2 linked regions of the Schizosaccharomyces pombe genome follow. The gene in region 1 interacts genetically with each later gene. Each region holds a gene or a part of one and is shown on either strand. Other genes may lie near its edges.

Region 1 (5,935 bases):
CATCTGTAACAGTAATTTGGGGCAGACCACACTGTCGATAATTTTTTTTCAAACAATATTTGATAACCTTCGCTGCATAGTTGATGAGCTCGTAAGATGTGCTTCATATTGTTGTATTCTAGAAATTTTGTTACAATAACTTCACCGAAAGAAAAACCTGCACCACGGGGCGAAAGTGAAAATTCTTGCACGCTAGGATCCGGATCCGACCACACGAGATCGGCCATAGGTCCCTCGTGTGGGAATTCTCTAAACCTGTCTAAGACAAGGATTTGATCTATGTGCTGAATACTAGGAGAAAGTCCACCATGAACACAAAAAATAGTGTCATCAATTGTTGCAGAAAGTGTTAGGAAATCAAAGATATCGGTAAAATATTTCCAAACATTAGCATTACCGTATTTTCTTAAGCATTCTGAATAAAATCCATAGGTTTGGGTTATTCCTCTGGACTCATGGTTTCCGCGCAAAAGAGTAATCCTCTTTGGATACCGTAACTTGAGACATATCAAAAGGGTTATAGTTTCTATACTATAATAGCCCCGATCAACATAATCACCTTCAAATAGTTAGCAACGAATAATAAAGCATGTGCTGTGTTCTCAATGTTCAGTTTTAATGATTTGTAGTAATCAGCTAATGTGATTCTAATGAACATCATTTTAACTTACCGAGAAAAAGATAGTTTGTGTATGGGCATGGGCCTCCTATACGAAAGATTTCAAGTAGATCATCAAATTGGCTATATACTTTGTAAGCAGAATGTCCACAAAGAATGAACTTTTTGCAATATTGAATCTATGCATACCCATGAATATCACCAACCACGGTAATGGGAGTAGACAACCTGACAACATTGCTTTCTTGCATTAAAACTTCCTTTGCGAGAGAACAAAGATAAGCAATAACGGACTCAGCAATCAATTGTTTTTCATATAATCTCTCTATTATGTTATCGAGGTCAATCATCTTTAGGAATTTCCGTGAAACTAGTGAGATTTATTAAAATACAAAAACAATGTCTTGCACCGTTTTGTATTGGATATATATAATTTAAGAAGACACAAACAGTGCTTGGCTAGGGAAAATTTCACCCAAGGTTTGTATCAGTCTAATCGGCTTTGACCGGATACGCTTCGAAAAACAAAGGATTAAGCACTTCTTATATGGAAAGCTTACGCGTTACTTCTCTTTATTTGCACGCATTAGAAAAATTCCACTAAAATGTTGTATGTGTCAGTTTTATGAAATTTGGAGGTTGGTTTCTGACTTGTCAGTGATCGAAACTACACGATTAATACATAATACTGTGTAGTTCGCCAATGAGATTTTAAGTTAAGAAAGCCTCTAATGGTATACCCAAAGAACAAAAATTACATAATGCTTGAAAAACGTGTTAAAATTCTTTCAGACATTCTATATGAATATCTGTCTCTTCTGCTGAAAAGGTTTAGTGCTTCTCTCGTTTCAGACCATCAGATAAATATTTCGGTTGAAAATAAGCGATAATTGATTAGGTATATTCTTGTATTCAAAGATCAGTCGGTCATTAAAAAACTCAGTTATGCAATACATTAAAATATAAGGAAAATCAAGAATGAAAATAGTAATAGTTACATGGCCTTTCTTTTTAATTTTTTTTTTAAATGAACAACAATACAAGCAATTATTGTTTCAATTAACACTATTTTGTTAGACATTAGCAATTTAAGTGACAATGTCACCTATTTACCATCCACTTCTTTGAACATGAATTTCCTAGTAACATTTCACTCTTAGTAGTACCTGCATTATACCTGCATAAAAAATTATTAAATACAGCCATTTTTAAGGGGTTAACTATACCCGTCTGTACATAAATATATTTATTATTATCTACTTTCTTTAAGCAGATAGCATCAAAACCTACCAATTGTTTAACGTCTATTATCACGCTAAATGGTTGAAAGCAAAATCATTAAGCTGCTTGAACAAGTGCAATCTGCTGATCCTAATTCAAGAATACAAGCCGAATTGGGGTTACGAGACCTTGAGAAATATCACGGTATGCTACTTAAGCTATAAACTAACCGAAAAAATTACTAACTATCTTTTACGAAGATTTTGCTGCGAAGTTAACAGATATCGCATCTTCTGGTGCTTCTGTTCCTTTAAGACAAGGTTCTCTCATTTATTTACAAAGATATATTGTTCACCATTGGTCTCCACTGTTTGAGCAATTTCAAGATGGACCGATACCCGATGAAAATGTCAAAAAACATGTCAGAGAAACACTATTACATCTTTTAGTGAGCCTTGACAATTTCACTTTAATCAAGGCTGTGGCATATGCTGTTTCTCTAATTGCAAACGTGGATTATCCCGATGAATGGCCAGAAGTTGTACCGGCCGTTCTGCATCTTTTACAATCTACTAATGAAAACTCTATTAATGCTTCACTGGATGTTCTGGACGAGCTTGTAGATGAGTCCCTTGTTGAAGAACAGTTCTTTATTATTGCACCTCAACTTGCATCCATTCTCTATCAGTTTATATTTTCCGCTCCCCCTAATGATTCCATGAGGATGTTGCAAGCTAGAGGAATTAAACTGTTTCGTTCTTGCCTAGAACTTATTGAGATTTATAAAGAAACGAAAGCTGAACATGTTCGTGTATTTCTTGAACAAATACTTCCCCCTTGGATGGATATGTTCTCGCACAAGTTTGAAGTTTCCCTCGTTGATGATCGACAAGTTATTTTACCTGATTCCTGTGGTTATTTTTGTATCATGGGAGAAATTGCTATGACTCTTACAAAACTTCGCGAATTGTTTCCTTCTAAATTGACACCGTACGTTGTGACCTTCGTCGAACTTGTTTGGAATATTATAGAAAAGTTACTAGATCCATATATACGAGAAGTTGTTTTTAGCGATGGTTTAGATGATTCAGCATTTGGTGATAAATACCCTATTCGTTATTTAGTTGAACTACTGCTATTCGTTTCTGTAGCTTTGCAAAGCAAGTTTGTTCAAAACTTGTTTGTCAGTAATACGGTCCCCGTACCTCCTTTACCTCCTTGCATTCCACTTCTGGTGCAATATACGCAACTACCTAAGCATCAAATTGAAGTATATGAAAGCGATGTCAGTGAATATATCGCAAACGAATTTTCTATGGATTTTGCTAGTGATACGGTTCGCGGTGCCGCCATCAGCGTACTAAGTGCATTTGAAGAGCATACCACTTTACCAATCCAGCAAAGTCTACGAGAAATGTCCGCGACTTACATATTAAACAATGAAATCAATTGGATATATCAAGAAGCCCTCTTGTATGCATGTTGTTCCGTGGATGCTGCTTCAGATGACACTTATGATGATTACTTGGACCCCATATACGAGGCTATCAAAGTCCGTATTGATTACTCCGATGCTCCAATTTTACTTCTTTCTAGGTTTTTCCTCTTTATCGGATATTTCTCTGAAAGCACCGTAGTAGCCTCTCAATTTTTCCAAATAATAATGAATAATTTGGTTAATGCTTTACAAGTTGATACTGTACAGTATGCTGCTATGAAAGCTATTGAGCGCTTTTGTTCAGTCGGAAAAGTCAAACCGATACTTTCTTTGCAGCCGATGATTTTGGAAGTTCTTTCTCAGTATGCTTCGAAGTCAAGCGATGAAGCTCTTGTATTACTTGTGGAAGCTATTTCTTCTGCGGTAAAACTTGATTGTGCAAAGGCTGCTGAATTAGGTAATTCTGTTATTCCACTTCTATTTAATTTGGTTGCTACGAACGCTTCTGATCCTTACATCTGTGGAATTATTGAAGACACCTTTGAGGACATTATCCATGCGGCAAATAACTATGAAAGTATGTGTGAAATTACTTTGCCAGAACTATTACAGGTCCTGAATCAAGAAGACCCGATTATGGTTAATATTGGGGCTACCTTGCTTTCTTGTTTGATTCGTGCAGGTCCTTCACCACTTCCTAATGGATTTGTTGGATATGTCTTGCCCCCTGTTTATAAGATTACTCAAATTCATTCTGGAGACACAGAACTGCTTCAGTTATCTCAGGAAATTCTTAAGGGGCTTTTGGAAAAGGACACACCACAATTATTGGAAACGGAGATTTCAGGTAGTAGTGGCTTTCAATACATTCTTTTTATTTTGCATCAGTTACTTGACAAAGAGAGTGATGATTCCGCCTGCTTTTTAGTTGGGCCTATCTTACTTGAATTGGCTGATCACGCAAGTCAAATGGTCGATCTTCAGTCCATTCTTCTTTCTTGCATTAAGAGATTGGCAATAGCTGAACAACCACGGTTTATTCAAGTAAGTTCTTATTGAATACCTGTTTCTGACTTTTATTTAGAGTATAATTTACGTTTTTGCCAAATTAATTGTTAAGGACTCTTTGGGAATGATGCACTTCTTGACATCGTCTTTATTAAATGAACAAGGGCTAACGGCTTTTGAAGTACTTATGACCGTTTGGTGTGACAACTTTGTTTATTTTAGCAACTTCAAAAACATTTCTATAATGTATGTCCTTATATTATTTGATGCTTATATAAATTCTAACCTGAAAGTTGTATTGCTATGACTAAAATTTATTCTTTTGACAGTCCTCTACTTGATTCAGTTCAAGTTAAAGGTGAACTTATCTCTCATTCTAATCGCATTATAACCCGGTCGCAGTCTAAACTTCGTATGTTAAAAGCTTTTGATAGTTTTCATTAACCAAAACTAGATCCCGAGGAATATTCATATGTAAGCGTTGGAGAAAAAATATTGCGACTACTTTCAGAGGAATTTGTTTCGTTGTCTAAAGATGCAATTGTTGAAGAAGTTTCCGATGATGGAGCGGATGATTGGGATGACGGTCCTATCAGTGCAGAGACGTTTGGGCTATCAGCTAATGGTACGCGAGACCTTTAAAAGAAAAGGCTAACAATAGATGTTAACGAATTGTCCAAAGATGAATTTTCTGGCGTAGACAATTCAGAAGATGAGGATAATACTGATTTGCAGGTGGGTTAAAGTTTTGGTTTTTAGGGCTAACATTTTTAGTTTTATCTTCTAGAGTTTTTTAAGGAAGCTATGAAAAGCAATCTGCACAATATCAACGAGGTTGTTTTTAGACTACCTCAGGAAGAACAGGATGCGCTCGTTCAAATTAAAGAAAAATAAAGGTGTAAAGGATTTAAAAAATCAAGAATACCTGAACGATTTCCAATAGTTTACTTGCACTATAACATTTACTAATATCATGTGCATTAAAAGGAAAGTAGGGTAAAATTATACCTTTCAGAGTACTTAAGGCTCTAGGTATAAGGTCAAAAGGATTATTTAAGCTGAAAGGGACTAAAGTATATGAAGAATAAAGTTGGTAAATTAATTCTTTCAAAAGATACATTTTTTAAATTAAAATAAACAGACAAACTTAGTTCATTATAAACATAAAAACAAGGTTATATAATACCAATAATTACCATTTTATTGGAGAGAGTATGATGGTAATTATTAACAAAGTGCAGATAAACGAGCATGAAATAAGGTCTTATCTGGAGATTAATATGGCACAAGTAAATGAGCATTTCAATATGAAAATAATTAAGACTGAAAAAGAACAAAATTAGGTAAATCGGCATTAAAATATGCCACCGTATATCTATGCAAAAATTCAAGAAACACCAGGTCAGCAAGCTACCGAAAGGTAAAAGTCACAAAAAGGAACGGGATTATTTCGTAAAATCAAGGGAATCCATAGTCAAAAGAAAACTAAAAACAAAGGATATGTAAAAAGCATGCAGTGCAACCATAGAATCATAAAACAGATAACAACCAATGATATACAAATAAGTTAAATAACAGAAATAGAAGATATGCCAGAATTTAAATACGTAAAAATGCACAAAGGCACGCCTATAAACATATTGCTAAAA
Region 2 (3,866 bases), on another chromosome or scaffold:
ACAAGGGACGATGTTTTTAACAGAATCAAGAGCACAACTCCAACATCTAGTTTGAGTCTCCATGCCGTGATCCATTCCTCCTTCTTTACTTGAATCTAAATCAAACAACTTAATAAGCTTATCACCACTAGCAGACAATATTTGCCGGTTATTAGAATATGGGACAAATTTCGCACTGAAGATATTTTGAACATGGCCAGTAGATATTAAATGCCGTGGCTTGTATTCATTGAAAACATCCCAGACAATTAGTCTTGTATCATCACTTCCTGATAACAAGAATTCACCGTCCGCGGACCAGCTGAAAATTGTAAGCATTGTAGAACAAATTGTTATAAAACACTTACTCTAGTGTATTAACACATCCCGTATGACCAGTTAATTCTTTCTGCAAATCTATACCGGTCAACCAAGTCGAATTGCCGTAGATATCTCGACTGACTAATAAACTAGTTAGCATCATTCAAAAACAAAACAAGAGCATACTTTTTCGCTGAAACCAATCTCTATAATCCAATTGACGCAAGGATAGTGATATCCCAGACATGAGAGTCAATTCAGCGATTAACAAGCGTTGGTGGAAGACAAGCTCAATTCAAGTGGATGTCGGTAATGTAGCCACGATGAGTTAATACCATAAATCGTAACTGCAAACTCGAATCTTAGAGTATAAGCCTTAAACTCAAACTCCTATGTTTTTTTTAAAATTTAAAAAAAAAACTTGAAGCGCCTCTGTAATTTACTGAAGTAGAAACACTTCAACATGTGAGTTTATTTCGATGATCGAAAGGAGGATCTAATTGCACAAATAATCATTTTATTTTACACTAATATAATATTTACAAAATATCAAAAAACATTTTCATATACAATTGTCAGTTGTTCGAAAAAGGGGTCACTTCGTCGGCTATTATCCATTTCAGACCAGGAGAACGAAATTGACTGTTGTCCTTGCAGAAAGGAATTTATACCTTGTTGAAAATTTATCCCGTTTGTGTATTCCACAAGCATAGGTTGAAAGTGAGTATGAAACCAACATTGCACACTCGAAGGAAAGTAAAACTGGCCCTTGCGTTCGACTCTGAGCAAAAGGTCTTTCTCCGATGTTTCTAGGTTGCATTGTATCCCCCATATACGTTTTCCTTCTTTTATGCTTACATTATGGGATGATATATCTGAACTCTTCCACAGAGCAACTGGATTTATGTTTCGTCCCTTAGAGAAGGCATGCAATGATAGAATCAAAGATGAATTTTTTTTAATATTCAAACATTTAAAACTTTTAAAAAAAGTGGTACCAGTATTAAATTCCACAGCTTTCAAATAATTCGGGAACTGTTTTAAAATTTCGATATAATAGACGTAACGTATTTGCGATGAAATGGTAAGACCGTGCCCTCGAACCATTCTTTTTTCAGTATATAGTTCAAGACTTTGCTTGGCTGTCAAGCCTCCGAAAGCTACCAAGTAGCTACATATTACAGTTCCTGTACGTCCTTTTCCGGCCTTACAATGAACTACCAATGTCAACAAAGGTTGCGTTTGAAAGAGTGCATCCATATTCATAACAATAGCCCATAAAAAGAGAAGCGGAGGTGGATTATGATCTTGAAATCCATAATTTATGACATTTGGTTTAAATAATTCCAAATGGTAAACTGTTTCTTCGGCACATAAATTCAACAATATCCAGTTGTCTTTCAATTGCGTTGTAAGATATTTAAATACATCCAATTCGTCGTTTCGATATAACTTATGTATTCCAGCAGCCGGTGTAGACATAGCAATTACCTTGGAAGTAATATAAACCATATCTAAGTAAGCAAAGCTACGATTCACTTTTTCTTGTTTGAGGCCTTTTCGACCCCTCGAAACTACTGATCGAAGTATATTCATGGAAAATTACATGTTTAATTAGTTATTTGTAATATACTAGGATAATACTGCAGATGCCGTTGACTGTTGAAATATGAGGTAAGCTGCACTGTTCAGAAGAAAATAAGAGAAATACAATAAAGATTTTAGTAATGAACTTTAAGCGGGTAGGTATCAACCATAGTGACGTGAATAAATAACTAATTTACTTTTAATTATTTATATATTTTGATAGCAATGATTTGATAATCCATTTTATTGAAAAAAACATAAGGGCATAACTTTTCCCTTTAAACGATGCAAAAGTATTACTAGTAAAAAAAAATAATAAAGAAATAAAAAAAAAAAAATGAGAAAAATGAATAAAAAAAGCCAATAAGAAATACAATCGTAAGACATGAACCGTAAATAAGCATTAAAATATTTTGATAAAAATCCTTAAAAACATTTAAGTCCACCAAAAAACAAACAAACCCATGCGATTATTCGAATCCTCTAAAATAAATCCAAAACGTTTAGGTAAAAAGAAATAAGTGGTAGAAGTATATAACGTTAGACATATGCAATTAATCATACATTAAAAATAAATCGTGAGGCATACACATTAGCGAAGATCACCAGTTATTGAAGATTAACTGGATAGAGGACTTTGTAAAGTAATTAACGAGAGTGAGTAAGTAGCGGAAGTATCAGCAAATATAAGTACACTAACCTCTTGGCCTGGACGGATGGTTTGAACAACCTCAGGCTCTTTCATACGTAAACTATGAAGTTTTCCATCTCCGGAAATATCCTGATTGCCAGAGGAACTTTTAGCTGTTTTACTAGTACTGTCATTGCCTCGAGCCTTTGAATAGAAAGACTCCTGGGACTCAGCAGCGTTAGCTAAATCCCGAACCTGTGCATCCATCATATCGCATATTTGTTTGCACATCCCGTTGGAATCCAAAAATTTTTTCTTAAAGTCATTGAAACAAGGTGTATCAATTTCCAAAGAAGATGAAGCATAAAAGAAAGAAGCATTTGTCCTCCATGATAAATAGAGTTCGTGTTTTTGCTCATTAAAGTCGCAGTTACTAAGCGGTAGCAGATCCAAGGAGATCCTTCTTTCCAAGCCAAATTCGTATATGACTATGTCAATATACTCCTGGTCAACAGCCAAAACAAAAGCCTTATGCTTAACGAGCCCAGATCGTAAATTAATAGAATGGAGAAGTTGACATAAATATGCATGTAGACTTTTTTCCTGGGCATTACGGTAGAAGTTGCTCAGTGTGTTACAAGACTGAGTTATAGAAAGTAAACTTCTGTAGTCTTTGGAAAAGTCTGGTCTGCCATCAAAGGCTTCGCGTAATTGTCTCTGTACACATATATCGATATATCTACGAGTAGGGTGACAAAAATGGGTGTAGTAAGGACAAGAGAACACAAAATGCGAAACATCCTTAGCATTTGAAGTACCGATAGTGTATTCAGATTCATTACACATTCTTCTTAGAGTCAATTGTAGTAACATTTTGGTTCTCTTATCCTTGGTAGTTGCAATTTCGGTCATGATTTCCGAAGGAGTAGATGAAGCAGATAAATTCACTCCGGTTAACTCAGAAACTGCAACAAGAGATGCAAAGTCAGAAGGTCTTTGATTTTTTCGCAAAATCACTTTACTGGGAAAAACAGACATTAAATGAGATGCAACTTTCTCGTTTACCCAATGTTCAATTTGTTGTAAAGAACATGCAATAGGGAATGCCTCAAAAATACTCATGTTAATATTCTGTATATTAGGAATCTGCCCATCGCAAAATTCAAAGCAGTATAAGGATTGTAAGTCAAGTTTCTTATCTGTTTTCAATCTTAGTTTGGTAAGGACATGGGCCGATGCATCAACTAGCTGAAGCGCTTCGTTGGTTTGCAAGTTTGCTTGTGCACTTTCTAAACTAATAAAACTTGACGGGTGGATTACAGAGGGCCCAAGGGAACACTGTAAAACA

The links.
Region 2: mutations in kap114 (region 1) and ptn1 together harm fitness more than expected from each alone (negative genetic interaction), as found in Schizosaccharomyces pombe (one large-scale study listed by BioGRID).

What each region holds. Positions count from the first base shown.
Region 1 is NC_003424.3:2,372,389-2,378,323, reverse strand, and holds kap114 (karyopherin/importin beta family nuclear import signal receptor Kap14), read left to right. Parts: upstream 1-1,771; 5' UTR 1,772-1,938; coding exon 1,939-2,044; intron 2,045-2,100; coding exon 2,101-4,322; intron 4,323-4,362; coding exon 4,363-4,532; intron 4,533-4,553; exon of another isoform or gene 4,554-4,579; coding exon 4,580-4,698; exon of another isoform or gene 4,699-4,740; coding exon 4,741-4,911; exon of another isoform or gene 4,912-4,947; coding exon 4,948-5,021; exon of another isoform or gene 5,022-5,060; coding exon 5,061-5,180; 3' UTR 5,181-5,272; downstream 5,273-5,935. Other genes in the region: ppa3 (protein phosphatase type 2A), read right to left, coding at 1-559, 672-742, 809-969. UniProt on the Schizosaccharomyces pombe protein: Required for nuclear protein import and mediates docking of import substrate to distinct nucleoporins. Serves a receptor for nuclear localization signals. Mediates the nuclear import of TATA-binding protein (TBP) and of histones H2A and H2B.
Region 2 is NC_003423.3:3,159,853-3,163,718, reverse strand, and holds ptn1 (phosphatidylinositol-3,4,5-trisphosphate3-phosphatase Ptn1), read right to left. Parts: upstream 1,991-3,866; 5' UTR 1,897-1,990; coding exon 850-1,896; 3' UTR 778-849; downstream 1-777. Other genes in the region: iqw1 (WD repeat-containing protein), read right to left, coding at 1-301, 348-441, 487-547; SPOM_SPBC609.01 (Dis3-like exonuclease family protein), read right to left, coding at 2,507-3,866. UniProt on the Schizosaccharomyces pombe protein: Acts as a phosphoinositide 3-phosphatase and regulates PtdIns(3,4,5)P3 levels.